4 linked regions of the Tamandua tetradactyla genome follow. The protein of the gene in region 2 interacts with the protein of the main gene of each other region in a biochemical or structural test. Links are inferred from orthologs where the notes say so. Each region holds a gene or a part of one and is shown on either strand. Other genes may lie near its edges. The genes, in order: NFKBIB, CHUK, MAP3K1 and MAP3K14.

Region 1 (8,117 bases), on a different chromosome or scaffold from region 2:
CTATTATTATCCTCATTCTATGACATGGGCCTGCCTGGTCTATCAGAGACTTCATGATTGACTCAGAGCCAGGTATGTGACCCAAACTGGGCCAATGGGAGTCATTCTCTGCTCTTTGGCTTGAACCACTGGGAATGAGGTGCTCTCTTTCCACCACAGCTGCTGGCCTGCTGGAGCTCTCATTGGAGCTGCCAAGACCTATCATTAGCCCAACACAGAAAAAAAGCAGAGTCAAGAGACAGAGTTAGTTTCTTAGCAACAACATGGAAGCACCTGGATTTCAGGCATGCCTAAAGCTGACCAACACACTCCTTTTTAAATTCAGGTGGGCCTGAAAAATCACCGGTAGGGGTGGAAGCCAAAAGCAGGCAGGGGACTCACAGCGCTCGCTCTGCATGTAGCGGGTCACCCCTTCCAGAGTGAGCTCATCCAGCCGTCGCTCCTTCTCAGTGCCCAGGCCCAGTGTCTGGGAGAAGAAATTCCGCAGGAAGTCCACTGACCAAAAAGAAGAGGTATTCCGGCGGGGCGGGCATTTAGTCAGAGTGCACAGTTGTCCTGAGAACCCCTGCCCCAGCCCTGGGATGCCCTGGGCTCCCCACAACTAAAGTCGTGATGGCCAGCCTGGCCAGGCCTGTTGTTACATACTTTGAATGTCACCCCCCGGTGGAGGTGAGGGGGTGGCACCCAGACCCCTGCCCCCCCAGGAGATACTCACTCTCTGCTTCTCCTCCAGTCGCTCCTTCTTCAGTGTCTGAACCTGACTCCTGGAAGGGGTGGGATGAGGTGGCCAGGCCAAGAGGAGGGTCAGGGAAGGAGACAGGAGGGTAGGGGTGACATCCAGGTTTGGGGAGAAGCTCTGGCTGGGGAGGTGGTCCTCAGGAGGTGAGGGGTGATGCAAGGACAGTGCTGGGGTCAGCATGCAGGCTCTGGGTGGGAAACCTGACCCTGTAGCTCCCTAGTGTATAACTGTGGGCCAGTGGCGTCACGTTTCTGGGTCTCCGTGTGTCTTGTCTCTGAAATGGAGCCCGCCTCAGTGTGGCCAAAAAGAGGGTATGAGCTGACATGGGTGAGGGGCTTAGACCAGCATCCTGGGGGTTAACTGCTTGGGAAATGCTTTGTGGTCATCACCTGCCCCGGTCCTTGCCTCTGTCCTATGTCTGGCCTTCAAGTCAACCTCACCAAAGTCACAGGCCTGTCCTCACCCTGCTGGCCCTGTCACCCTCCTCCTTGAAGCCCTAGATAGCCTCCACTTCTGACCCTTCCCTCTCCTTTATTGACCCCTCCCCTCAGCTCCCAAATAGCTGATCTTTGAGACTCCATCCTGGGCCCTCTTTGCTTTCTTTTCCCCTGCCCACCCCACCCCCATCCCCAGACCACCGCTCTCACCCACACCCATGGCCTAAGCTTAGACACTGAGGACGCCCACCTCTTTGTCTTCAGATCCGGGGGTGCCCTGTGGCCTCCTGGACGCCTGTCTCTGGGTGACCCCCAGGGCCATCACTCCCATGTGTCCCAAACTAGCCTCCGTGTTTCCCCCAAGTCTGTTCCTCCTTTCGAGCCCCTTCTCAGGGCAGCCTCACCGGCCCCCAGGCTCCCCACTAGAATCCTGAGCCTCATCCTGAATGCCTCCCATGCCCTTGCTTTCCCATCACAGCTCATCAGCCCTGCAGATGTCCACTCAGGCTGAATACCCTCCAGCTGCTCCCCCTGTCCTTTCCCATCCAGGCCCTGCCCTGGCCTCCTTCCTGGGCTCTGGGGCTGATTCTCTGCCTCCCATCTACCCTCTCCTTCACAGGCCCTTCGTTGTTTCTCCAGTCTAAGCATCCAACCATGAACAGCTATGGAGTACCCACGATGTTAGCTCCAGGAGAGCAGGGACTTGTCTGCTGTGTTCATCCCTGAATCCCCAGCTCCTGGAACAGGGTCTGGCCTAGCAGAAGCTCTAGAACCATCCACCATTGGACGGGTTGCCTGCGGTCTATTAGCTCAGGGATGGGTTGTGGTCTGACTACCTCACTCTCCTGTTAAAAACCTATCGGACCATTCTCCCCTCCCCCCAACTCACTACCCTGGTTCTGAGCCTTTTTAATAGGACACCCCCACCCCCGTCCAACCATATTTTTACATTTTTATTGTTTTTTAAGATTACACAAGGTTGGCAAAAACATTGAACATTAGAAAATGCACAACTTGGGGTACTGCTTCTCACCCATTGTCCACCAAGATAACTATTAAGCTTCTAATATGAATTGCTCCAGATTTTTTCTCTGTAAATAAAACCTCATTATCTCTACTTTTCTGATATGAGGATAGCACCTTCTTTGGAATGAGAAATCTCCTAATTGCTCAGAACATGTCCCCCTCAACTAATGCCCACCTGTTCAATGACGACCCTACTTGTGCAGGACTGGTTACCTGGGCAGTTGTGAATATCCAGAAGTTCTGCCGATCAGTGTCTCTAGTCTTACCCCGTTAAAAAAATTCATAAGACTTGACCCCTTTCCCCCTCAAATGAATGTATTGGTGGTTAAAAACAAAACAAAAAAACAAAAACCTAATTATCTTCACAGAAATGGGTCCCACCCAGGCAGGCTGCTGCACTCTGCAGTTTTTCACAGAATTAACTCCTGCAGACCCACCTCGTTGGGTTAAGCAGCCATATAGGATTGCATTGTGTGGGTGTGCCAGCCTTCACTTAACCCATCCACTGACAGCCCTTTGGGCCATGTCCAGTTTTGCCCTATTCTAGACAACACTGCAATTTACATCCTTGTGTCTCTCTCTCTGGCACTGAGGGTCCCTTCTTAATAGTAAACCTTTTTCTCTGAGCCACAAGTGACAGTAGCCACACTCTGGAGCTAGGCGATGGAGAAACCCTGGCTTGACAGGAAGCTCTTCTACCCTCACTATCCCTCTGTTGGGCCTTCGTGAGGAACTGTGACACGGCCTCTGCACCGACCTACATCTGAAAAGCATTGGTAGCAGGCTGGGCTCCTTCAGGCTGTAGACAATGAGGCTCTGTGGGAGGATGGCAGGCCCTGTCCAGCTCGTGGGGCAGCCCTGCCTGCAGAGGAGGTGGAGGTGCTGGCTGACGCCCATAAGCTTCTGGAAGGCTGCCCTGACCACCTCCTGCTTAGCACCTATGAGGCAGGGGGCCGGGTGTCTTAGGTTTGGCGTCCCTATTCCTCTAGCCAAGGGATAGGGGACAAGTCGCTTTAACAACTCTCCCTCAAAATGGCAATGACAGGCCTTCCCCCCACAGGGATGTTGGGAAGATTAAATAAGACGATGTACCCAAAACACTAAGCAGAATATCTGCGACAGAGTAAGTACCCAATAAAAAAAATTTTTTTTTTTTTTTTACCATTCCCAGCCATCAAGCTACCCAATACTTTTCTGCCTCCAGGCTTTCCCTCTGCCTGGAACACCATTTCTCATCTTGTCCAGGAAAATTCCAAGTCACTCCTCACTTATTATATTGTGTCGATAACTCAGTCTTACCTAGATCCGTCTGTGGATTTCTCCAAGGAGGGGCCTGGGTGGTTTCTTCTGTGACCCCACAAAGTATATTCTGGCCCCCACAGCACCCTGAGCTACCTCCACAGTCACCCTGGAGGGTTGGTTTCTATCAGGGACCAAATCCCATGCTTGTCTCTTCTGGGCCCAGCACGAATGAGGTTCAGAAGGATTGGTGGGGAGGGGACAGAAAAGAGGTAAGCTTGGAAGGGCAGGCCTGGGACTGAGGCAGTATACCCTTCTTTGGCAGGCCCCACAATCTACCATCCCCCAGGACGCTGCACCTTGGGGTGGGACGAGGGATTGGGGCAGTGAGCTGAGAGCCTAGTGTGGGATAGTGGGAACAAATCCATCTCTCTCCTTCCCTCCAGTCCACCCTTTCCCCCCATCTCACCTGAGCCTCCTGCACCTTCCCTGTCTGGGTCTCCAGAGGGTCAGAGGCTGGGGGAGGAGGGGGAGCAGACGTGGTTACAGTGGAGGGAATGGTTAAGGTGGAATGAAAGGGTTCAAAGTGGGAGTGGGGGCTAGGAAGACCTAATTATACTAGTGAGGGGAGTGGTAAAAACCGAATAGAGGTAGGGAAGGGAAAAGCAGATCTTAAGGAGAAGCTGGAGAGGGGAAGGGTTTGGAGGAGAGAGAGGAGAAAGGAAGGGATAAAGGGTTTGGAGGAAGTCTCAGGAGTAGTTAGGAAAGCATAATAGTGTGTGTAGGGGCAGAGGGAAGTTTAGAAAGGAGGAGAGGAGATAGGAAGGGATACCCTGCTGGGAGCCGGGTTTGGAAGAGGAGGTGCCGGGATAGGGATGGGTGGTTGGTGGCAAGTTAAGGAGAGGCACAGGTACTTGAGGCAAGAGATAGAAGGGGACACCAGGGGATCCCCTGGCATCCTACAACCAGGTACCCTTAGCAACCAGGACGGCGGCAACCCACGTCCTTAGTAACGAGGGTCTTTAGCAACCGAAGTGCGAGAAACATGCGATTATTAGCAATTTGGGGCACTAGGCAAATGGGCCCTTAAAACTCTCGCGACCCAGACACTCATTAATCAAACACCACGGATCACTTAGCAACGGCCCCTCAAATCCCACTGCCCCCACGCTGCCCGATCTCCTGCCCCACCGCGCCTGCTCTCGGGCCCCGGGGCCTGCAGCCTGCTGTCAGGCCCCGACGCGGCCCGATCCTCCCACCCGGGCCCCTGACTCACGGTCCGGCTCGGCCATGGGCGCGGGACCGGGGCCCTCGGGGCTGTCACCGACCTCTCTGCCCCGTGACGGCACCGGAAACGGGAGGGGCAGTGAGGAGGCAAAGGACTACAACTCCCAGAAGCCACGACCACCGCATACGAGTGATTAGCACAACGCCGCGAGCGTTTCTCTTCGGATAAGGGAGATGAGAGGGCCGGACTACAAGTTCCAGAGGGCCTGGCGTCGGCAGCCATGTTGGTAAAGGGCGCCCGGAAAATGTGGGAATGGGTCGAAAGCTGTAGTACAATAGGACGTTCTGATTGGTCTTGGAGCGGAATGGGGCGGGGAGAGAGAGCTTTGACCCACTCTGATTGGGCAAAGTAGGGGGAGTGTTGGGGAATTCCCCGCAGGGCGGAAGGGTTAGGATCCAGGCAGAGCCCAGCAGTAGCCTGGCTGGGTGCCGCGGGGGACTCCGGAGGCTGCGGGGCTATGGCCGGGGTCGCGTGCCTGGGGAAAGCTGCAGACGCGGATGAGTGGTGTGACAGTGGTCTGGGCTCACTGGGCCCGGACGCAGCAGCCCCCGGAGGACCAGGGTTGGGTCCGGAGTTGGGCCCGGGGCTGTCGTGGGCTCCCCTCGTCTTCGGCTACGTCACTGAAGATGGGGACACGTGAGTGAATCTTAGACTCCCAAGTCTAGCCCAAAGATCAGTTTAACCTGATTCTCCTATGGTGTCTGATCCCGGCTCCCTAACCTCTTACCACTAAATCTGACCTCTAAGCCTTGACTTCCTGACCTCTAACCCCCAAGTCCTAACCTTTGATAACATCAATCTCTTACTCAACTTTGATTCTAACACATTTCTGACTCTCCTTTCTTGAATCTGATTCTCAGCTCCTGGAATCCACATCCCTTCCCATTGATCTGAAAACCGGATTTGAACGTTTTGACTCCAGTCCTGAGACGTTTGTTAGAACTCTGACTCCAGCTCCTCCTGATCTCCAACCTCCAAGATGATCTTTGATCCTTAGCTGGTGACTTATGAGCCTTATACTTTGATTTCTGAAAGTAATATTTGGCCTCTGTTTCTAAGATCCTGCCTTCTGAGCACTAATTTCAAATCTTACATTTAAAGAGAGAATATAGGGTCCCTGAGAACACGGATTCATCCCTTCAACAATTATTCATTGAACTGTTTGTTTTAGGCGCTGGAGTTAAAACAATGAAGACAATAGACAGATATATGACCTTGTGGAACATACATTCTAGTAGGGGTAGACAAATGGACAGAAGGAAAGACAGAAAGGAGAGAAAGAAAGACAGGAAGTAAGAGGCAGAGAGAGAAAAAGAAAGAGAGAGAGAGAGAGAGAGAGAAATGAAACAAATAGCAGGGAAGAAGAGCATTCCAGCAGAAGGAACCACAAGGGAGTGTACCTAGGGATTTTTGTCTGTTACATTTATTGCTTCCCCAGTGACCCAAACAATGCCTGATACTTGGTGGGCACTTCATAAATATTGATCTTATCAAAGAATCAGCTCTTGGTTTCATTAATTTTCTCTATTGTTTTAATGCTCTTTTGTTGATTTCTGTTCTCATTATTATTATTCTATTGGCTTACTTTGGATTTAATCAGCTCTTTTTCTAGTTTCTTAAAATATAAGCTGAGGCCATTGATTTGAGACTTTTCTTCTTTGCTATTATGGGCATATAACACTATATATTTCCTCCTATGTATTGCTTTAGCAAGATCTCACAAATTCTGATATGTTGTGTTCTCATTTTTATTCAATATTCTTTCTAGTTTCTCTTGATATCCTCTTTCACCCATGGATTATTTAAAAGTATGCCATTTCGTTTCCAAACATTTGGGAGATTTTCCAGCTATCTTTCTCATTTTTATTCAATATTCTTTCTAGTTTCTCTTGATATCCTCTTTCACCCATGGATTATTTAAAAGTATGTCATTTCGTTTCCAAACATTTGGGAGATTTTCCAGCTATCTTTCTCTTGAGTTTTTTTAATTCCATGTAGGCAGAGAATATATTTAGCATGAATTAAATCCTTTAAAATTTGTTGAGACTCAGAATGGCCCAGAATATGGTCTAGCTTGGTAATTGTTGTGTATGCACTTGAGAAGAATGTGTACATTGTGTTGTTACTGGGTGAAGTGTTCTCTAAATGTCAGTTAGGCCAAATTGGTTTATAGGGTTGTTGAAGTCGACTAATCCTTGCTAGTTTTCTGTCCACTCAGTCTACCAGTTATAGAGAGAGGAATATTGAATCCCCAAGTATAATTGGGCCTTTGTCTATTTCTTCTTTTAGTTTTCTCAGTTTTTGCTTTGTGTATTTTGAAGTTCTGTTATTAGGGGAACAAAGATTTAGATTGTTAAGTCTTCTTGTCTAATTGACCCCTTTACCATTATAAAATTACCTTCTTTAGCCTTGTAATAGTCTCTGCTTTGAAATCTACTTTGATATTAAATATTTATTTCAACTTTCTTTTGACTAGTGTAGCATGGAATATCTTTTTCATCATTTTATTTTTAACTTATTTGTGTCTTTATATTTAAAGGGCATTTCTTGTAGGCAACATATAGTTGGGTTTTGCTTTTTTATTCAATCTGACAATTCTGCCTTTTAATTAAGGTGTTTAAACACTTTAAATTTAATGTAAACTGTTGATATGGTTATGTTCAAATTGATCATCTTTCTGTTTCGTCCCACCGGTTCTATGTTTCCTGTTCCCTCTTTTTTCTGCTTTCTTCTGGAATACCTGAGTATTTTGTAACTCAACTTTATTTCCTTTGTTGGCTTTTTAGCTATAACTTTTTGTTGTTGTTGTTGTTATTTTAGTGGTTGCTTTAAGGCAGGGGATGCCATACTATGACCCGTAAGCAAAATCCAGCCAGCCTCCTGTATGGCTGTAAGCTAAGAATGGTTTTTACATTTTTTGTTGTTGTTTTCTGTTTTGTTTTTTTGGCATGGGCAAGCACCGGGAATCGGACCTGGGTTTCAGCATGGCAGGCAAGAACTCTGCCACTGCACCAGCATGGCCTGCCTGTTTTTCACATTTTTAAATGGCTAAAAAATATTCAGATATTTTGTGACGAGTGAAAATGATATGAAATTCAAATTTCAGTGTCTATCAATAAAGTTTTATTGGAACATAGCCATGCTCACTGATTTACATTTTATTTATAGCTGCCTTTGTGTCACAACAGCAGAGTTGAATAGTCAGGATAGAGACCATGTGGTTCAGAGAGCCTCAAATATTTGCTATCTGGACCGTTACAGAAAGTTTGCTGGGCAGGCCACGGTGGCTTAGCAGGCAGAGTTCTCGCCTGCCATGCCGGAGACCCAGGTTTGATTCCCTGTGCCTGCCCATGTCAAAAAAGGGAAAAAAAAGTTTGCCGACCCAGCC
Region 2 (7,252 bases):
CACCAGCCAGCAACCTTTGGAGATGAAGAAGGAAAATGCCTCCCAGGGAGCTTCATGAAACAGGAAGCCAGGAGAAGAAGATAGCAGATGATGCTGTGTTCACCATGTGTGTTTCCAGATGAGAGAGAAACTCTGTGTTCACCATGTGCCCTTCCACTTGAGAGAGAAACCCTGAACCTCATTGGCCTTCTTGAACCAAGGTATCTTTCCCTGGATGCCTTAGACTGGACATTTCTATAGACTTGTTTAAATTGGGACATTTTCTTGGCCTTAGAATTGTAAAATAGCAACTTATTAAATTCCCCTTTTTAAAAGCCATTCTGTTTCTGGTATATTGCATTCCGGCAGCTAGCAAGCTAGACCACCACCATAAACACAATCTGGTACAACCATGAACAATGTTAAACCCTAAATTCCAGTGAGAATGAGGCAGGAAGTAATCTGCTTCAAAAACGTCTCACCCCAGAAGATCTTTTAACTTCTTATGTCACTTACTCTGTGCAGGCCTTTCCCACTCAACCACTTCACAAAGAGTGTTTGGTGGGAAGTGTATAGATGTTCAGCAAAAATAAATAAATAAATAAAACAAAACCAGTTCTGTGTTCAAATACATTTGGAAAAGTTACTAAATAAAATTGGTTTCTTTACTACAGGATTTCTTAGAGCTCTTACTATGGTAACATGGGTTATGAATCTCCAAATGAAGGAATAGTATACGCAACATTTACCAAATGCATTTGGCCATCATATCCTTTTTGAAAGTATTTCATGGGATTAGTTTTCCCAAACACATTTTGAGACGTGCCACCCTCTTCCCCAGAAAGAATGCTTCAGTTACTATGGCCATGCTTCAATATCACTTTGCAAATACCTTTGTTATAGATTATCACATTGTATTTTAATTGTTTTCCTGCCTATCTCTTCCACTGGACCTGAGATGTTCTTGAGGGCAAGGAATACTGTTTTTGCAGATTTAGGTTTCACCAGCAACCAGTAATGTCATCAGCTAAATAATACATTTCACATTATTTTCTTTATTGTGCTTTAAAGGGTATAGATGAAATACTGGGTCATGGCTTCCACCAAACGTATGAATATCTCGAAAACTGTAAATGTAAACCCCAAGTCAGGTTTGGAAAAAGAATGATGCTGTTTCCAAGTCTTATGACAGAGTATTCCTTCTCTCCTCAATATATGCTCAGCTATCAAATGTCCTCATTTTGGGAAAAGGGTCTCTATGTACAACAGGAAATTTCTAAGATTTTAGAGGAACCCAAGTCTCTTCCATTTAAAAAGTGATAAGTTCATTCAGCCCCAAACAGAGACCAGGAGAAGCAGTCACAAAATCCTATCACCATATATGCTTCCTCTCTTATGATCGGTTGATGGGGAGGCTTAGATAACAAGACTATAGGCAACATTCCACTAAAAGCACTTTGGTTCTTTGTTTTGACTGTCTTAAGTACCGCCCCCCCCCCCACCTCCACACACACCTTCCCGGTGAGAATTACTAAACTTATTACTTCATTGGCTTCAAAGTACTTAATGCCTTAGGCTTTTACCTTCCATTTGCCCTCTTTCCAAGATTTCCTCCTATGCTCTATCTAGAAATCTGCTTCACAAAACTTCGTTCTGTTAGTGACATTTGTCACTCTGCCCCACAAACATGCCTACCGTCCCCCAGGTAGACTCCCATTTCCCCTTCTGCCTACCCACATTATGACCTCTACCCACTCCTATGTTCCTTAAAACAGCAAATCATAATTTCTTTTTTTTAATAACCTTATTCATTCACAGGCCAAATACAGGCATTTTAATATTTTCTAACTGTTCATCTTGCCCCATGTTTTTCCATTCAAATTCATTATTTACAAAATAATCTTCTTAGAACACCACTTTTACCTTACATTTCCATTTTTAAAACCAATTAATGAGGATGAAGATGATAACAGCAACAGTGATATAGCAGCAACAGCTAATATTTGCGAGCTTATCATGGGCCAGAAACAGTATACTTAGCTTTACATACATTATTATTTTATTTAACTCTCAAACAGACCCATGAAATATGTATATTATACCCATCTTACAGATGTCAAAACAAAGGCCACATTGCTGGAATTATTAACCCAAAGTCTATATACCTAAGAGGTCTGCTAATATGCTTCAGGAGACTGTAAGCCCCCTCAAATAGCAAATGCATAAGATACCCAAGGTCGTGTAGATATGCCTGTGCGTTTTTCTGGGGGTAAGGGTTCATAGCTTTTATTGGTATCTGAAAAGATACATGACTCAAACACGATTATTAACTGCTGCTACAATGGTTAAACATCTTCAATTAACTCAAAGTAAAATTCCTGGGTCCGATATTAGCTGTCCTCCACAAACTGAAATCCTTCCTCCCTCCCCAATCTTATTTCCTTCCCTTTGAAGTCATGATCATTTTCACCAGCTCGTCCTCACACAAGCAACCTGGAATGTATGTCCTATTCCAAAGCCTACCCATGCTTCCAAAGGCTTAACTCTTGGACCCACCATGAATCCTTCTCTGCTCCAGCCCCTACTAATATCCTTGGCCTCCAAGAACACACAGGTAAAAACACATTCCAACAGGCAGCCCCCATTCCTTTATCCCCGTTTTCTCATCCATTCGTGCTCACATACATTAACTCTGTACACCTGCTCCACACACCCTGACGCTCCACGTCTACAAAAAGATCTAAATATCTAAATACCTTGATACATACCAAAAATCCTCCCTAATAGCTCACTCTCACAATGACCCAGGACCACTCTCAACGTGTTCCTACAGACACAACTTCGGATTCACAAGCACGGTATCACACACACGCACGCTATGACCCACTGGCTCTCCAACACTGTCCAAGTCTCACATATATTGACAGTCACTGCGTTTCAGACAAACACCCACCACCGCACCCTCTCGCGCCCGGCCTCACCCGATGCTGGTATAGGCAGACGTTCCCGAAACCGCCGGTACCCAGGCGCTCCCGCATCTCCCAGGGCCCGCCCGCGCCCGGCCGCAGCCCTGGGGGCCGCTCCATGGGGCGGGAGGGGAAGCAACCTAACTTAACCGCTGCTCCCAGGCCGGTTCCGGGCCGCCGAGGGTCGCGCGTTTTTCTTCTCGCGAGATGTATGCGTCACTTCCGGGAACTGTCTCAGCAAAGCCCCGCCCCAAATTCTCCGGGTGCCGGCCAGAATCCTAGCGGTTAAAGGGTGGAGAAGCCAGGAAGACCTCCAAATCCACTCTTGGGAATGCTGTAATCATTTTTCTAACCTAGAGGATCCTGTGGGGTTTTTTTCCAGTCATGAAAATATAAGCTCTGTCCAGATTATACATTCCATTCAAACCATTCTCTTATATATTTTTCTTTTCCAAACTTCAGATTGCCTCCCGCCCTGTCTCACATCACCTTTTCTCAGGCTGCTCCATTTATCCTTCAACCCCACCGCCCACTGAACCGGCACTGGCAAAGGCCACCAGCTATTTAAATATTGAGGAATCTGAAGAAATCGAAAGAATCCTGCGCAAACAAGCACATTGATGCACTAGCCTTCATAGTTCACTCCCGTAAGCGTCCCGTTTGTCAGAGACCTGCAGAGCTCCAGTTTGTTTCATCTAGGCTTGTCGATTCTGGGCTCAAGTGTATGAGTCTCAGCTTATTCGTGAGTAAAATAGAGGTAATGATACCTACCTCTTGGAGGTTTCGTGAGCATTAAGTAAAATTTACTATCTGGATCATAAGTGCCCAATTATATAGGAACAATTACTTTTCTTTTGGCTTTCAAAATATGGCATTCCCCAGGGATCTCTGTGCTCCTTCTCTGTGCACTTGTTGGACCACTCTATCTCCAGGCTACTCCTTAAATATTAATTTCTCAGGTAGCCATCCTCAGCTTAGAATTTTCTTCACTCATTTTCATAATTTCATCAATGGCCTATATCTTTATGATCCCCAAATCCCTATCACCACCAATCTAGATGTCCATGAGTTTAGATCTACCCAACAACAGATGCCACATCTGTTAGATCTCTCAGGCATCTCAATCTCAACATAGCCAAAGCAGAATTCATCTTCTTTTCTTAAATCTGCCCCCTCCTCCTCCAATTAGATGTAAACTCTGAGACAACAGGGACCATGTTGGGACATGGCTATACTCCCGGAGCCTAAAAAATACCTGGCTCATAGGAGGAAATAATTGCTGAAGGACTGAATGAACTTTTGTACATCAAAATGAATGCTATGAGAAAAAATGTTAAGGATCTTAGATCTCTTCTGTACTCTGGCTTTCTCAAGGAGAGGCCACCCTGTGTGATTCTGAGATAACAACTACACCTAAAGCCTTGATACCTCCTATTACACACACCACCTCATTTCAGTAGTCACAAGTAACATGAACACAAAACACCTGTCAACAATGGAAAAGTTTATGAATTTTATTTGATGGTTTCAATGTTTTTGAAAATTTTGTTAAAACCAGGCTGTATTTGGAACTGGATGACAGACATACTTTTAATATAGGGTTTTCATGAATGTGACTTTTCCAAAATATATTCAGTCCTAGGCCTCTTACTGCAGGCAGGTTCCATAGGAATGCATGAAAAAGAGGGTGGGAAAAAGTCCCCATAGGTATATGTAGTTTCTTTAAAAACAGGCTGCTGCTACTATCTGTGAAGCTCATAAAAAATCTTTCCATTTGGTTAGTCATCCAGAGTGAAGTCAAAGGGCTCAAACTCTTTCCGGAAACAGCGAGCTAGGTTCTCCTCCTCTTCCCTGCTGATCTGACACTGCCTCCAGTCAGACTTGTCAGGAATATTAAGGATGGCTTCACTGGCCAGGACCTCCCTGAAGAAAGAATTAAAGTCAAAAGGACAGCATCAGCTGGAAATCCCCCTCCTCCCTCTGTTCCTCTCCAATCAGACAACTCCTCAGTGTTACCCAAAGAAGGTATGCAAATTCCTCTGCTTGTACCATTTTCCTGTTCTTAGTGCCATCTTTGCCATCCTATCAACATCATACCAACTTAAATGACCAGTTCAGGTCCCACCTGTTTCTTAATGCTCTGTACCCCACTAACTTCTTCCTCTATTGAACAATTTTGAATTATACTGTTAATACTTTGAGAAACAACATGACACAGTAGAAGGAGGGCAGACACTGGAGTCAGAAAGATCAGAGACTTGATTCCATTCCTAGCTCTGCCACCTGTGGTCTGTTACTTAGACAAATTACTCTATCTCTGAGTTTTTACCTCCTCACCTATGAAATGAGAATAATATCACCTACCTTACAGGGTTTTTATAAGGTGTAGGAATAACAGTCAAACCTCCACAATAGCTGTGACTACAAGTTAAACTCTAGTCTGTCATCCCAACTAGACCATAAGGGCCTAGTAAAGTGAGATACCAAGTGTCATACCCTCTCTGTCTTGAAATTCTTCTGCCTCTCCTTCCACAGAATTCAGGCCAACACAGGCAAAACTACACAAGCTCACTATCAACCAAACAACTTATCTTGACCCTCAGGACTGAAAGTTACTATATGCGGACACACTACACACAAGCTGCCTTCTAATGCCAGCGTTTTTATTTGTATTTATTTTTACTCACTTTGATATAGTAGAAATAACTCTATTTGTGCATTTATATGGCCAATATTCTACTCTGAAGCTACAATAAGTAGAAAAATTGAATTCAAATCACAGAATTCCTCTAAGTCAAAGAACTGGAGCTCAAGTTCTGTTTCCTTAGGCAAACCTCTGAGCTACTTCATCTGTTAAACAGAGAGAATATTGTCTTTATTGTATAGTTGGGAAAATGATATCTTTCTAAGTTATTTTCTTACCTATAAAATGCCACATAACTGTAAATTAGTACTCTGAAAAATACTAAATGTTGAAAATACAACCATCATGAGCACAAAACCATTTGGAAAATCTCCCTTTTGTGGGCTTTATGTGCCTGTGTGTCTGTGAATCATGAGCCTGCAAAGTCAGTGTCCACATCTTCTTGTTGCTGAGGTAAAAACAAAAAGATAATGTCTTTTTGAAAATGCAGACAATTACATTTACTAGACTTATTGAATAGTGGCAATCTCTTGGGCACATTCTACATCAGTTCAAAACTGGTTCAAGATTCACTTAAAGCCCAGTTCTAACTAGGGGTAAAAAACAGCTACAAATGAGACACCAGCTTTAGATAATCTGTTCTGCACATTTTCTATTCTCCTCTATCCTCTGTCTCTTCTTGCCAACGTCTCCGTCTTCAGTCTTGGCTTAATTTTTATCACCCTGTATGTGGTTTTTCAGTTACGTACTACCTAATATTAGGAGCAGAAATGAAGCCTCATCAAGATCTTTAGGACAATAGAGAATAATGATGTTAAGACCTCATGGTTTGGGGCAAGTCAGATGTTAACATGTGTGACAGTAATTAATGCAGAATGTGAAAATGTTTTAGGGAACAATGAAAAAGTTTTAGAAGACAATTTACTTTAGAAATTCAGGGACAATGCATGAAATTGAGACAATACATGTACAGTTCCTGGCACAGAACCTACACAGAGCATATGCTCAATTAATGGAGCAATTTTCTATGCCTGGCTGGAGTGTCCTCACCCAAATCTTTGTCCTCTAAATCTATCTCTCAGGTTCAACTTTAATCCTTTCATGAAGACTTCCATCAAGTACAAATGAGCTCTCTCTTCTCTAAATTTCTAAAGTACATTGTTCTCCAAAACTTTTTCATTGTTCCCCAAAACATTCTCATATTCTGCATTAATTACTGTCACACATGGTAACATCTGACTTGCCCTAAGTCTATATATTTCTTAGGGCAAGTACTATTCCTTATTTATCTTTGTGTTAATTGTCCATGCATCTCACTACATTGTTCATATTAGATCTAGTAAAATTACATTTAAAAGAAGAGAAGCAAACAAACCTTCCAAACTGTAAAGGAAAATTCTTTTTAATTCTGTGAAAAAGCTTCTCTCCTGTGTCAAGTTCAACATAAAAATATGCTGCTCCTGGCTGTGCAATCTAAAGTAAACAGAGTTGCATGAGTTATAGTATAAACTATAATTTAGCAAAAATTCAGTCTAAAAACCCACAAAAAAAGAAAAGATACAAGTAGTTTACAGATACCAAGTCACTTGGGGAACCAGATTTTAAAAAGCGAAATTGGTAGATATTACCAAGATCCTCCCCATGGCACACAGTCTCCTAAATA
Region 3 (7,080 bases), on a different chromosome or scaffold from region 2:
AGGGCTATATGAGGATATAAAAGTAGACAATGAAATATCTTTAGTTTTAAACAAAAACTAACATTAATAAGTACAGCATATCTTGTTCTTTCATGGGGCCAGTAAATTGATAGCCTGCTTTTTTTAAGTTACAAAAATAGGATGGAGTCATTATATCTACTAAACTCACAATAACCTGTTCAATGGAGAATAACACTGTAATTTTTCTTCAAAGACAGTACATGGGAAGAAAAAGCCCCTAATTCGGTAATAAAAGGAAAAATTTCAAACCCTTGGGCGCCACTTACAGGCACAAAACTTTTACTGATTTCAGTTTTTACTATGAAGAAGATTTAAAAATTTCCATTTATAGCTCACAAATGTATTTTCTACAACTTTGAATCTACATCCAAGATCAGAAACTAAAGAAAATTCTGAAATCAAAATTACAAAATTCTCCTTTAAAAAAATACATCAGGCCTTCAGACAGAGGGGCTCTTCTCAAATAAAAATATTTCAAAATCTCAACATTAGATTTTCCTCCTGAAAATACGAATGCAACTACTGTCAAAAAGTATAATGTAAAGTTCAACTGAAATTTCATTACTCTGCTTATAATTAGAGTGCTTATGTCCAAGCAAACCAAGTGAATTTCAATCCCATCACCAAGGAAATTGGAAAAATCAATGCATTTTAAAAGGACAGAGAATCACTATTTTACCATAAATAAAATATTTAGAGATGACATTTGGGATGAACAAATAGCATTATGGTTAATGAAATCATTTTTAAAAAAAAGATTATACTAACTACTCCAGTGTAGCACAGACTGCAAATTTTAATTCACCCCTTAACAAAGACAGGAAAAAGCTTAGGTTGTAAAACATAAAAATTAAGCATGGACTACTCAGTCCCTCAGTTCTGTCTCTACCTTAGTCCTCTTATTTTGAGTCAAGGAACTACACTAAACAACCTCTGTATATTATTTTCACAAAGGTTACTCTAATACTGTATTCACAATTCAATAGTAGAATGTCAAGTAATTACTAAAGAATTACCGTATCCAAAGAGTTAAGTCTCATGAGAAGAAATAAAATTAATTTCTCAAGTTTACAATTTTTATCTGGAATACATTGGTGGTAACAATTTGTCTTCAAAGAATTATCCCAGTTAAGTTTTAGTGCAATCTGCATGGAACAGGAAACTGCAGAGGAATAAAACTCTGATTGAGTTACATGTACAAGTGCACACAAATCTCCCTTCTTCCAATCTAGACATGAAACAGTCCTGGGCATATTTTAAAATTTAGTTCTTTTTTGGGGGTGGGGGCGGGGAAAGCGCTTGCAAATAATAAACGAACGGCGATTTTAAATAATCAAGCTCACAAAAAAGCGCCAAATCACATTAGAAAATCAACCCAAACTAAAGGTTCCTACTGTTAAACTCATCTCACAAGAAATACAAATCTATTACAGACACTCCTGCAGAACTTCACACGACTCATAGTACGGGTCTGGTACTTCTCTACAGGGCAACGGGTGACTTTCACAAAAACATTTGCAGCAACTCGAAATACCCCACCAAGACTCTGTGCTCTGCAGACACTGGTCAGATCTTTTTCAAAAACAGGAATGAAGGCTGTCACACTTAGTGTATTTCCTTTAACATAAAAATTTCCAGTTGCCCCAAAAAAAAAGGGGGGGGGGGGGTCAGGCCATGAACCGCTCGTCTGAACTATGTTACATACATCGTACTTCAAATGCACCACGGGTCTTATCTGAGCCGAAGCTCCCAGTACTGTGACCCCAGGAATTCGGCAGTCGGCGGGCGGCCCGCGCAGCTGCACAGAGCTGGAAGCGCCGCAACCGCGCCGCGGTTCCCGAACCTCGCCCGAGGGGCTGCGGCGTGCAGTCACCACCGCTTGGAAACTGAATGGCTGACACATCCGGTCCCGGCTCTTACACCACTCAGCCAAATGTAAACTTCAAAGGCCAAATGCAAACTGCAAACAGAAGTCACTCACGTCTTCCCGGACAGTTCGCGTTCCCAAGAACACTCGGAGCCCTTGGGGGACGCAATCAGAAAAAAGCCAGGAGAGACTGCAAGTCCTGCGAGTTTTGACAGGCATTACCCACCGGACACCGGGAGTCCCCTGCGGCCGGTGCTCGGAAGCACGCCGCCCCCGGCCCGGCCCGACCCGCGGTACCTGCCTCGGCACTCGAGCCCCCGGCGCCGCTCCCCACCTACCCCGCCCCTTTTCCGCCCGCCCGAAGGCTCCGACCTCACCCCGGGACACCAGTCTGGGGCCACCGCCGCCGGGCAGCTCCCCGCCCCCCTGGGCCCGGGACTCGAAACACCCCGAGTGCAGCGCGGGGGCTCACGCCCCGGGCTCCTCCGAGCGCCCCAGTTCCCGGAGACCCGCAGAGAAAGCCGGGACCCCCACACCTTATCGCCACGGGTGCCTGCAGTGCAGCTCGCACGCCTGTCACATGTCCGCAAACAATAACAAACTCTCCAGCACGTCCCCGCCCCGGGCCCCTGTCCAGTTCCCCAGGCCGGGTCCAGGGCGCCTCGCCCGACGCCGGAGGGGTCAGGGGGTGTATGCCCGGGGGCGGAGAGACCTCAGGTCGCGGCCAGAGGCTTGCACCCTCCCTGCGCCGAGCCCCGGGGACGCCGTGCACCGCGTCCGGGATTCATTCATTGCCCTCCACTCGTCCCGCAAGTCTCCGCCGTGCCCCCCGCCGCGCTGCTCACCCGGTGGGGACCGCTGCAGGAGGCGGCTCGGCGGCGGGTGCCCGCTTCTCCCCCGACTCGGCCCCCGCGGGGTTCGGGGCGCCGCTGTCCGGCGCGGCCGCCGGCTCCGCAGGGTGGGCGCCGCCGCGGTTCGAGGCTCCGTGGGGCGGCGGCACTGCCTCAGGATGGAAGTTGCTCCCGCTCGCCGCGGCGTCTGCGGGCTCCGGCGACGGGGAAGAGGACGGCGGAGAGGCGGCGAGGAAGAGCGGCGGGTCCGGTAGCTGATCCAGCTCCACGCTCCGCACTTTGCGCAGCTGCCGCCGCCGCCAGTCCGCCCGCTCGCGGCCCCCGCTGCCCGCCTCCCGCAGGAGCCCCGCGGCCGCCGCGGGCCCGCTACTCGACTTGAGGGCACCCCCGCCGCCGCCCGCCTCGGGGCTCGCCGCCCCGGCTCCCGGGAATCCCGACGACGAGGCGCGATTCCCCGCCGCCGCCGCCATTTTCTCTCGCGGGCTACATTCGCTGGGCCCCTGCGAGGGAGGGAGGGGGCGGGGAGAGCGCGGGGGGCGGGCGGACGGGCGGGCACTGCGCCGCCAGCGTAGGCCGCCTACGCCAACTGCGTGAGCGCGGCCCGCCGGGCGTTCTGCCGGTGGCCTGGGCCGGCTGCAGCGCGGGGTCCTGCCTGCCGACGAGGCGGAGGGCGGGCCGGCGGCGGCGCTGCAGATTGGAGGGCGTGAGCTGTGCGCGGCCGGGGCGAGGTGGGCTGGGCGCTGACTACAGCGGGGGCGCTGTAGGCTCTAAGCGCTGCGCCCGCCGCGCCGCCAGGTAGTCCCCGGGAGCACCGGCGAGAGGAGGGGTTTCGGCGGCGCTGTCGCGCCGTGTCATCTCCGCCGCAGTATCCCGCTGGCTGGTTCGGAGCTCGTCCGACAGCGGCTGCAGCGCCCGAAATAAATACTTAGTGTGAACCTGGGCTTGTGGTGCGTTGAAGAGGACGCAGGGAAGAGGGCTTGCACTCTGTCATTCGCGCTGTCCTTTGCAGTGGGCGTCGGGGCACTCGAGCGCAGCTCCCCCCGCCCCTCCTCCCGCCCGGTACGGGCCGTGCAGGTGGCGCCAGGGCTGTCGCCTGCTGCACGGCGAAAGAAAACCAGCGTTCAGCGGACGTGCAGCCGCAGACCATGACAGTATTAAGTTGCGTTTTTAAAAAACATTTTTCCTTTTTTGTGTCCCCCACCACTCGTAGACCATAAAGAGCAAAACTTCAAAGTTTTCTGGAATACCTTGTTCACATCCTGAAATCACTGATTTGAGACATCCCCAACCCGGTTGGACGCGGAAGGGCAGGTTCCCTACGGATCTTTGTTTTTTCCCTCGGCTCAGTCGCTGGGAGAGGCAGGCGAGTACAGGACCACGTAGAGCACGTTTGGAGAAGGAACTAGCGCTGTGCCAGGAAGTGCTCGACAACGCGGTCCTCAGCCTGGCCCCGGCCCTCCCCGCCCCCCGGGGGCCCCTCGCTGCGCGGCCCTCTTACTCGCGGGGTCGGGGGACGGAGCGCGTTCCTCCCCCCACCCCCTGGCCTGGCGGTGTCAGCAGCGGCGTTTGAACCACTCCAACCCCCAGGAGAATCCCTGCGATACGGTGCCCTGGGATGGAAAAATCACCGTTTACATGTTCATGTTTTTTCGAAAAGCTCGGTAGAGTTGTTTTGTTTTTCTTCTCTCCCTTCTTTTCCTTAAGACGGTTTCTCTGTATTGGGAAATCTCCCAGAAGACAGAAGGAGTGCCCCTAAGATTTGTTTTGTGAAAAATTAAACAGACCTGACCTGACGTGTGTGTGTGTGTGTGTGTGTGTGTGTGTGTGCGCGCGCGCTTGCTTGTTTGCTTGCTTGCTTGCTTGCTTGCTTGGGGGGAGTGTCATGCAGAAAGAGAACTTTCTTGTTAGTCTAAACATACTTAGACAAAAGCCTGAGCTGTCTAGGTAATAATTCCTTTGAATTCTTGAGAATACATACAATGAAAGCCCTCTTTCCAGGTATAAATGTGATATCGGAGCCGAATTTTTTAAGGGTACTGATTTTATATTAGCTCGGTGTCTTGAATGGTGCTACACCAGCTGCCATAAGAGTTTTAGGTAGTTACGTCCAACGGTACAAATTTTGAAAGTTTGGATAAATCTGTTAAAATTTCAAGTCTACATTTAGGCTATAATTATATGCTGTTTTAATGGTAGCCAAGTGTATCATTCAACCCAAACAGTAGTTATTTCCCAGGTCTTCCGGGATTGCCACACCCACTAACTCCTAAATTGAAAAGGATAAACTTTCCACATTCCTATTTAGATCTAAAAACCTTTAAATTTACACACACACATCCTCAGGTAAGTGAGAAAATTGAGTGGAAATGTGAAGCCTTTCAAAATTGTCCCAATTTTGAAGTTTAGGCACAGTTGCAAAGGTAAAACTGGACTCCAGCAAAACATTTACCTTTGCTCTTTATATGTCCTTGTGACCAAAGCAGAGGGGTACCACATGCAACGCTAGTTACTTTCTCTGACCATCTCAATCTACCGCACACCAAACACTCCCCATCTCACCCCTAACAAGAAACCTGACTGATGGTCTGTCCCAAGTTTTTGGTGTTTTGAATCATTTTACTCTTAATCTTTTATGTAAATATTCTGGTTGCCGTTAGGCATCCACACTGACAAGCTGACTTTTTTTTCTTTTTAAAGAGAGAAAAACAATCAAAGGACCTGCATGACTGAAAAGCCATACGTTAAATACAACATCTTCTTTGAGAATTTAACTGCGTAGAATTGTTAACATGGTTTCTGAGTTTTAAGTATGGGTAAGACTGTAGCTTCTGTGTTTGTTGGATCTCTATATTACTGCACAGAGATATAGGTCAGTTATCAAGCTATTCTGTACACTCTGAGTTGCTTTAATTTGATTTCTTTAATGACATTAAGGAGACTTCAAAGATTGCTTCTGGAGCTGAATATTCCAGTTACTATTTCCATCCTCACTCAAGGATACAAACCTTGCAGTGGTTTCGTTTATGTCACAACAATTTTTGTAACCTTTACGCAGTGCTTTACAGATCACTGCTTCTAGTGCTTCTGGGAATCACCTAAGACGCACTTCAGTTCCTACATCACATTCATTTGCAGGATCTAGTTTAATGTTTGTGCGTTTCCTCGTTGTGCACAAATATCTCTGATGTTGAAATGAACAGACTTAATATGCAGTGGCAGAAATAGTGCAGACTGTACATTGTTCATCATATATTTATTAAGCACGTACTACAAATATACAAAGAGTTTTCTCTTGTGGTTATTAGGCTGACTCTAATAAAGTCAGATCTACCAATATGTACATATGTATTCATGCCTCTGTTTGAGAGATCTATGTCTTAGGAAGGCATAAGAGTAAGAATGTAAACTTGAGAGTAGGGCAAAAGCTGGTGTTCTGCCATGCTTTATAAATACTTACTGGGGGCAGGCCACAGTGGCTTAGCAGGCAGATTCTCTCCTGCCATGCCGGAGACCTGGGTTCGATTCCCGGTGCTAGCCCATACCAAAAAAAAAAAAAAATACTTACTAGGAAATGCTTGCAGAGTAGGGCTGGGACTTAGTTTCTCTATGCTCTTTCTAGACACCATACTTCCCAGGTGTTTCTAGATGTTCTGAGTCCTGAAATCTTGTCATCTGTAGATAACCAGTCCCCCCAGAAGGGCATTGTAGGTGACATTATAGTACAAAGTCAGCCAGCCTCCCCTTAGCTGACGCATTCATTAACACACACCCATCATCCTTATGTACAACCTGCTGAGGGGTGACAGGGCCCAATGAATGTCCATGGCCAGTGGCTGGTATGCACCTGCCCACATCTGCTTCCACCTGGTGAGTCATGGGCCCTGCAGGAACCACTTGTATTTGCTCCCAAACCTGATTAGCCTATTATAACTGTCCTTATGAAATTTAATTAAATTTTAGGAAATTGATTATTAATAAGCATGGGTAGATGAGTGCCAAAAGAAAGTTGTTCCAACAAAAACTTAAGTTGAATGCTTCGAAAGAGTGAATGAAGGCAAGTCACTGAAAACAAATCTATCAAATTAGTTGTGGGTGTGATGATTGTAGAAGGTTGGAAAAAAGTTCTCAGCTTCAGAATAATTTACTTTGTAAGTAACTATCACTTCTCATTTGGTGTCAAAGAAAGTAAAACTGAACATTGTAAGCATGAGAAAGATGTGTGGAACACTAAGCAGTCAAATACTGGCAAAAAGTCCCAAACCAACCCCAAACAAAACTCTATTATTTATATGTTTTAAATGAAAGTAGAATATTTAAGCTATTTTATGTTTCCATTTTCAT
Region 4 (7,503 bases), on a different chromosome or scaffold from region 2:
TTTCAAGGGATTTATACTGGGAGGATAAATAACTAGAGGATATAAAATAGCAAGAAGGAAGAGGGCCCTTTAAACTAAACTACAAAGAAAGAAGCACAGGCACTAATGAAAAATTTCTTTTCTCAGCATTGGCACTCAGGTAAGAAGATGAGCCCAGAACTAAAGACCCATATTCAACACACTTCAATGTTCTGCTCAGCTCAACTGAAATGTTAGCCTACACAATTTGCCCTATGCCTGGCCTTCCATTTCTAATCGAAGGCTTTCAAAATTTCAGTCAGCAGCCTTTACACGGGCGTCACTCTAAATGCTTACTCTGCCCCTTGAAGATGCTCAACCTCTAATCCTTTCTGTTACAAGAGCTCTCAGCGTGCAGAGGCTGGAGTGGCTGGCTTCTCCTTACAGTTTCCCAAATTCACTGGCATGGATTTCCTCCTCTCCCCACCAATTTCACTCTGGTGCCATCAAAAGTGCCCATAATGCTCAGATGTTTCCAGTTTAACTGAAATGCTAAAATGGTGCAAACAGGAAGCATCAGACAAAACTGCGGTAGTGACTTATTAATCATGAAAGCAGAATTTTAGTTGCATTTTAACCTTTTGCCAGGAAAAAAAAAACAGCTTTGAGATGATGGAAGCCATTGGTAGAAAAATGCTGCCTGTTTGTGTATCAAGCTGATTTATACTTTTTATATAGGACTAAATTTGGTTTTTAGACTTTCTGAACTTTCCCCCCAGAAAGACCATCTCTCAGGCCAATAAATGTGAATTTGTCAGCTCCTCATCAAGGCAGGCAGCATTGTTAAGAAAGCCCATGTGCCGTCCATTGAAACAGGAAAAAAAAAAAAAGGAAATTAAAAGGGACTTCACAGGCCAAAGTTATAGAACACTTATAAGAGGGTGCCAACAACAAAGAAAACAATCCTGGATGAAGCTTCACCTCTTTCACAGCTCTACAGAGCTCTCACGAGACTCTGGCCAGGGATGAACTGTTATCACACACACACACACACATACATACACACACACAAAATCACAACAATTGTCTAGGGTTGAACAACTAATGAGGGCAAGCCCACTTCTCAACATTAAATGATAAACACTCCAAGTAGATTACAAAGGAGTCAGTGTTCAACAGGAGAATCAAAATGAGGAACCAAATCTCCATCTGTTCAGATAAACGGCCCAACCAGACAGTTTTGTTTAATAGATGAAGGCCCGTTTGGCAGGGTCTCTCTGGTGCTGCTCCCACAAACTCTAACAGACAATACCATGAGTGAAAAACCCCCTTCAGAATTGCTCCCTGTAATCTGAAAATAGTCCGAAGATGACTCCAAGCTTTGTAGTTTCTTGCTGTCTGATTTCACAAAGGTACTGGAACATATACCTGGGTACTTATTTCTAAAATTAAAGTTAGAAACTGTTACTTTTATTTTGAGATCTTCTGTAAAGTTCATCACATCCTTCAAAAAAACAAAGAATATGTCCTAAAGGTGTCTGAAAAGCTTAGAAGTCTGGCACACCAAACCAAAGTAACTGACTTTAACAATCACCTAAAAAACACAAGAGTAAATCTAAACACATTCTAATCAAGACAAGCACCTCTTAAATGTCCTCTGATGTTGAGATAATAAACACCACACCAAAAACTTGTTCCTCTTTCTTGCATCTGATTCCTATTATGTTGTCCTGGTCCAGGGGAAGGAGCCTGGGAAGACTCAAGAGATCCAGGCTCAGGTTTCCACCCTCAGTCTTAGCTATGATGCCTTTGAGGTATCAGGCAAAAAATATAATACCCCATTCCCCCCACCTCACCTATAAAACAGGATCATTCTATTTTTTCACACATATGTCTGAAGGAAAAGGGAGATTACAGGTATGAAGATACTTAGTAAAGTAAAAAAAAACATAGCACAACTGTTAAGATACTATCTTCCTGTAATCTTTCAGAAAGATTTACCACGTTTCTAGTCAAGGGGTTTTCAACATTTTTCCTGGAATAAACTTCAGACTGCTAGTTTGTGTCATGGCCCCACTCTCATATTTAATTTCACTTGATTTTAGATCAAGTCACGGGTGTTCTTTGTCTCCAGTTACCAAAAAGCATTTTGTCACTTTCACGGCTGATTTCTCTATCTTTTCTCCATTGAGCCTCCCTTCCCCACAACCACTCAATATTCTCCAAATCACCCCTTTAGGGTTAAAAGCAACATTTAAACCTCAGCTAGGACGGAGACACTTTTCTGAAGTTTCCAAGCACCAAGGAGGCTCCTGGGCGGTGGGACTCTCTGCACTGTACAAGTCGCCACTCTCTGCCTGGTGCCCAGCTGCTGCAAGTTGCCAGGACCACGATGGGCTTCCAAGAAGGGAATATTAATCAGAGCCGACAGATAAGATGTCCTGAGTGGAGAGGACAGAAGAATTACAGAGCAGAGCTGGGGCCAGAAAGGAGGGAGGATGCTGCCATGACCAGCAGTGCCCCTCTGGGTGCCGAGGGCAGGCTTGGGTCCTTCTCCTAGCCTCGGAGTGTGACCCAAAAACTTGCCAGCGAAGGCCAGGTGGGAGGTGCACCCACCAGGCGCACTTCTGCAGAAAACACCTTCCGTCCCGTGCCGGGGTGAGCCCCACTCCTGGGGGACGCGCAGGGAACCGCGCAGGAGGGGTGCGGCCTGGCTGTGGGACATCTGGGCGCAGTGGCGGGGGGTGCTGGGGAAGGGGAAGCAAAGCACCTCTGCGCGCGCTTCAGGCAAGCGTGTGGCCTGCGAGAGTGCGGCCTGGAGGCCCGGGGCGGGCAAGGCGTGCGACCGTGGCACCGGCAGCGCGTGTGAGGGCGCGCGGCGTTTGGCGGCGGGTCGCGAGGACCGAGGGTCCGCGCGCGGGTGGGTCTGGCTAGGGCCCGGGTCGAGCCGCCGACCCCCACCGCTCCTGGGCAGCCGGCCAGGCCGCGACCGGCTCAGGGACCGGGGGGGCAACTCGTCCCCGCCACTCTCTCAATGCCGACCCCGGGGTCCCGCTCAGTCACCTACCGGCCGAGCGCCGATCTCCCCAGCCAGCAAGTGTCGCGCTCCCCTCTCCCGCGATCTCCCGTCGCGGGTGGCCGCCGGCTGCCCTCCCGGAGCACTGTCGCCCCGCCCCGGCTTCGGGACCCGCCCCCTCACCACCTTCCCGGTCGCCCCCGCGGCCACGCCTCCCCCGGCGGCTCCAACTTTGCCTCGCTTGGAGCCTGCTTTCTCGGGCCTCAACGTGATCCTTGGCTCCGCCCACCCCCCCACACTAACCAATGAGACGGCCCCAGTGCTCTCCTAGGCCCGCCCCTGTCGGCCCGCCCCTCTAGCGACGATTGGTTCTCGAGGCCCAGTTTCCAGAAAAGGGCAATCTTTCCGGACAGTTTATAGAAAAGAGATTGTAGGGCGAACAGACTGACAGAAGGCGGAGGCGGTCGAGGTGGTTGGTGTAACTACACATGCGCGCTCGGCTTCTGGCAGTTTTTACCGCTTGCTTTCTTGAGGTTACGGGAAGGAAGGGCGAATGTGCGCGTGCGCGGGCACTCCCAGTCTCTGACTTGGGTTACCTTGGAGACGGCGAGGCGCTCCCCCTCCTGGGTCTAGTTCTGCTTCCTCTTTGCTGCTGGGCGGTGGCGGCTGAAGGAGGTGGTGATGGGATTAAAAACACTTTTATTGAGCGCTTGCTGTGTGTCTGGCGCTGTTGAGTCCCTAAAGAAGAGGAAAGCAGGTTGCAGTGCTTGCCTCGAGAAGCTTAGGGAGCCAAGGGCCTACACAGGTCAGGCCTGTGTGTAGACACCGAGGCCTGTAATAAGAGTGTGCGATGCACAGCCAGAGAAACATTGAGGTTAGAGACTGCACCAAGCATCCTCTCGCTGGATTTAGTGGTTATGGAACAGAAATAAAAATTTATTTTGAAAAGTTTGCAAAATAAAAAATGCGCCCTTACCCTGGACACCCCATCCCCATCAGGGCATTCAGGACAGGTATGGTAACTGATTCTAGTGATGAGATGAACCGGCCCCATCAAAGGCTGTCTGTTTTGAGAGGCAAAGAGCACCCCATCTCTGGAACTGTGGCCAGGCCACCTTCTGTTCAGGATCGTTTATTTTTTATTTTTGGCATGGGCAAGCTCCGGAAATGAACCAGGGTCACTGGCATGGCAGGCGAAGAATTCTGCCACTGAGCCACGGTTACCTGCCCACAGGATCACTTTTAAGACAGTCCTTGGTCGTTCAAGGTCTCTTTCTGGACATCTGCACCCGACAAATATTTCTGCTTTGGGGCAGTAGGGAAGGGCATTGTCGAAAGACAAACGGGGTCAAGTTTGCAAATTGCGGCATTTTGTTTGGGACATCAAAAGTTTTGCTGCAGCAGCAGAAGCCAGATAACTTGTAAGAAGCGAAATAGTTTCTGGGTTCTCGGGATGGCAAACGATTTTTATAGACATTAAAAAAAAATAGCTTGACTCCTGTTGATTGGACTAGGGTTTGTCTGTCTTATAGGGGTAGGTTTAGATCAGGTAGGCTTCCTTTTGTATTGGATCAAATAAAATGGGGTATCGATTGGTTATCTGGGTCAGCTGCCTTGGTGGGGAAAGTCAAGAGAGAGTTCAAAGAGGAAGTAACGCACGGGGTTTGGGGGCTCTGAAGGGTCCCCAGAGCTGTCTTTATATAATTTTATTAATTTTCCTTCTTATGGTCATTCCCTCTGTTTCAAAGGCTTTACCAAAGATGTTGTTAGTCTCTTATTTGCCACTTGAAGCCTTGTGTTTCATTATTGTTTTCATAGGTTAGCTGAAGTTCAAGATTTTTGTTCATCCCATTCAGAGTGGTTTTGAATCCTCAGTTATCAGTTGTCAAGTTAGTGACTGTGCAGCAGCATTTAAGAGGACAGAAATCAGACAACAAATGAGGGATATTATAAATATGATTAAAAGGATGACAAGTGCCCTTATTAGAATATCTCTGAGCCAAGATCCCCATGACCCTAGAATCCAACCAAAAAGAGACTCAGACCAATCAGATTCAGGAGGTGTGTAAACTGACACTTCTCAAGCAAGGGCTTCTGTTGTTACTACCTCTTAGTAAACTTCCTTTTGACTGTCATTTACAAATACAAAGCACTGTGTGCCCACTAGTGCACACACTTCCTTGTAGAGGAATGACTCCTCTAAATTTATAGACAAAATGACTCCTTTTGTCATTTTCAAAGTTCCAATACTTTGCCAGTTAGTGAGCTGATGCCTGCCCTGGGTGGGAGATAGATTTTTCTAACTCTAAAGCTACCTTTTCTATTACCAACTGTAATTGGTTAGTGTATCTTCCATATAGGAGATGGCTTCCCTAATGACAAGGGGGACAGTACCAAGAACAAAACACTCCATGAGGTTAGCCTGGGCTAGTGGGTTTTTCTATGATCCAGTTGGCAATATTCTCTTCATAAGTTTCTATAGTATTGGAAGAGACCATAAGAGCACTCTTGTCTCTAATTTTCCCTTTTGAAAGCTTATCATTAGTAGTCATTTGGGGAAAAGCATAAGTTGCATTACAAGAACTAACCCAATTTACAGGTAGTATTTTTGTCTACATACAAAATAGTGTCCTCGAAGAGTTTAATAAGGGTATATCTATTGCCTTTAATGAATGGAACATTGTTGTGTAGAGCTAACTGGGTGTAAACACCAAAAAGAGAATCTTAATCCAACATCGTCTTCATTGTTACCTGATATCTTAGTCACAATTAATCAACGATTTCCCTCGCCTGGCTTTTCAGCCTACCAGAAATATTTGTGCCTTGAGTGGAATAAGTTCTTATGCTATTAAAACCTTGGGGTGCTTGGAGAAAACTGGTATCAGAAAACTGGCCCCAACATTGTACTCTTGGCTCATAAAAGTAAAAGGAGTCTTGTCACATAGAAACTGAACATATACTATCCCTACAAAATGGCCATTTTTGTCTGTCTGCTTTCTAGTAAAAACATATTCTTTGGGTTAGAGAAGCCGCATGGTAATCCCAGTCTCAGGGGCTCTTAAGGAACAACCCCGAGTCATTCCCCAAAAATAATCTCTTTGACTGGGTATCAGATGTTTCCTGTCAGACCAAGTCTGCAAGTGTAAGGGGGATGGTTATTAGAGGAATACTTATTTGGGGACTAAGTGGGGGATGTGTACAGATCCAGCAGTTACCCTGATTGGTTTCCTTTGCTATATGGTGTGCTAGAAGAACAAAGGAATTGTGCTCAAGGCAGGTGTACCTAGGGGAGAAATAGAGTAAAATCATGATGAAGGTAGGGTATTATTGGGGATGGATATTGGGCATTGTAAGGAATGTAGGATGAATAAGAGAACATTTAGACAGATAGTGAAAAGGAAGAGACAGAGAATACAATAAAATTCAGGTGTGTTCTAGGGCACCATCTACTTGTTCCAATGTCTTGGGCAGAATCTGTCTGTGTCAAATGCTGTCTGTTTCTGGAATCTGTGTGTCAATTTTAGCTTGAGGTCAGAAATGGGATTAATCTTCCAAGGGCTTGGAGCTCGTTTTAGTTGTGACATGTGGACCCAAGGGTCAGTTATACTGCTGTAGTTTTATGGCTGTAGTTGTGGTCAATAAGACTTGAAAAGGTCCTTTCTCTCTGAGGTCTAAGGCACTCTTTGTTGATGTTTATCCCAGTATATCAAGCCTCCGGGTTAAAGATCATGTAGAGTTCAATATTGAGGAATCTTGGGAAAGGCAGCCTAGATCTGTGAATGGTGGAACTGAGTATATGAGATTCATTCCTTACAATAATTAGCAACTTCACAATGTAAATGTGAAATATTTAGATTGGAATCAGTAAAGTAGGAGAAATAATAAGCCTCATGGGTCTTCCCATTATGAGTTCATAGGGGGTTAGCCAGTCTTCTCCTGGTGGGCTAGACCTTATGGCCATCAAGGCTAAAGAAAGATCCCTAGGCCGTGGTAGAGGGAAGGATTCAAATAATTTAGCTAATTTAATTTTTATGGTACCATTTTTTTCATTCTACTTTTCCTGACAATTAATATGTTAGGGACAGTGAAGCTTTTGGTTCCTTGATTAAAGTTCAGTAAATTGGGAGCCTCTATCCCTTGAGAGAATAGCAGAAATTCCCCAGGTGGAGAAAATAAAGTCTAATGGTTTCTATCTACTGTGAGGGCTGCAGCTTTGTGACAAGGAAAAGCCTTTATCCATCCAGAAAATAGATATACAATAACAAGGACATGTTCATATCCTATAGAAGGAGGTAGTTGTATAAATTCCACTTGAAGACGTCCAAAAGAGCACTATCAGTTGTGGTCTTTGACCCTGTCCTACCTTTACAGTTTTACCAGAGTAGAACATAATCTATATACTTGTCTTACTTCTCATTTAAAGTCCCTTTTTTTTCTTTTATGGCTGAAGATGAAGCTCTGAATTATAACTGACTGCAGACATTTTCAGAGAAGCATCCTAGTAAAACAACGTAACTGACAAGGAAATT

Evidence for each region.
Region 1: of the proteins of CHUK (region 2) and NFKBIB, one has a biochemical effect on the other in vitro, tested with the Homo sapiens proteins (2 studies listed by BioGRID). The link is inferred for Tamandua tetradactyla from reciprocal best matches to the Homo sapiens genes CHUK and NFKBIB.
Region 3: of the proteins of CHUK (region 2) and MAP3K1, one has a biochemical effect on the other in vitro, tested with the Homo sapiens proteins (3 studies listed by BioGRID). The link is inferred for Tamandua tetradactyla from reciprocal best matches to the Homo sapiens genes CHUK and MAP3K1.
Region 4: of the proteins of CHUK (region 2) and MAP3K14, one has a biochemical effect on the other in vitro, tested with the Homo sapiens proteins (5 studies listed by BioGRID and IntAct, with this or other methods). The link is inferred for Tamandua tetradactyla from reciprocal best matches to the Homo sapiens genes CHUK and MAP3K14.

Annotation. Positions count from the first base shown.
Region 1 is NC_135342.1:25,108,014-25,116,130, reverse strand, and holds the start of NFKBIB (NF-kappa-B inhibitor beta), read left to right. Parts: upstream 1-5,065; 5' UTR 5,066-5,186; coding exon 5,187-5,365; intron 5,366-8,117. Other genes in the region: SIRT2 (NAD-dependent protein deacetylase sirtuin-2), read right to left, coding at 382-495, 716-764, 4,718-4,951. UniProt on the Homo sapiens protein: Inhibits NF-kappa-B by complexing with and trapping it in the cytoplasm.
Region 2 is NC_135339.1:61,763,788-61,771,039, forward strand, and holds the start of CHUK (inhibitor of nuclear factor kappa-B kinase subunit alpha), read right to left. Parts: upstream 3,146-7,252; 5' UTR 3,066-3,145; coding exon 2,961-3,065; intron 1-2,960. Other genes in the region: CWF19L1 (CWF19-like protein 1), read right to left, coding at 4,724-4,868, 6,965-7,062.
Region 3 is NC_135335.1:103,418,186-103,425,265, reverse strand, and holds the start of MAP3K1 (mitogen-activated protein kinase kinase kinase 1), read right to left. Parts: upstream 3,217-7,080; 5' UTR 3,210-3,216; coding exon 2,734-3,209; intron 2,613-2,733; exon of another isoform or gene 2,425-2,612; intron 2,185-2,424; exon of another isoform or gene 2,115-2,184; intron 1-2,114. UniProt on the Homo sapiens protein: Component of a protein kinase signal transduction cascade. Activates the ERK and JNK kinase pathways by phosphorylation of MAP2K1 and MAP2K4. May phosphorylate the MAPK8/JNK1 kinase.
Region 4 is NC_135332.1:22,168,745-22,176,247, reverse strand, and holds the start of MAP3K14 (mitogen-activated protein kinase kinase kinase 14), read right to left. Parts: upstream 3,136-7,503; 5' UTR 3,026-3,135; intron 1-3,025.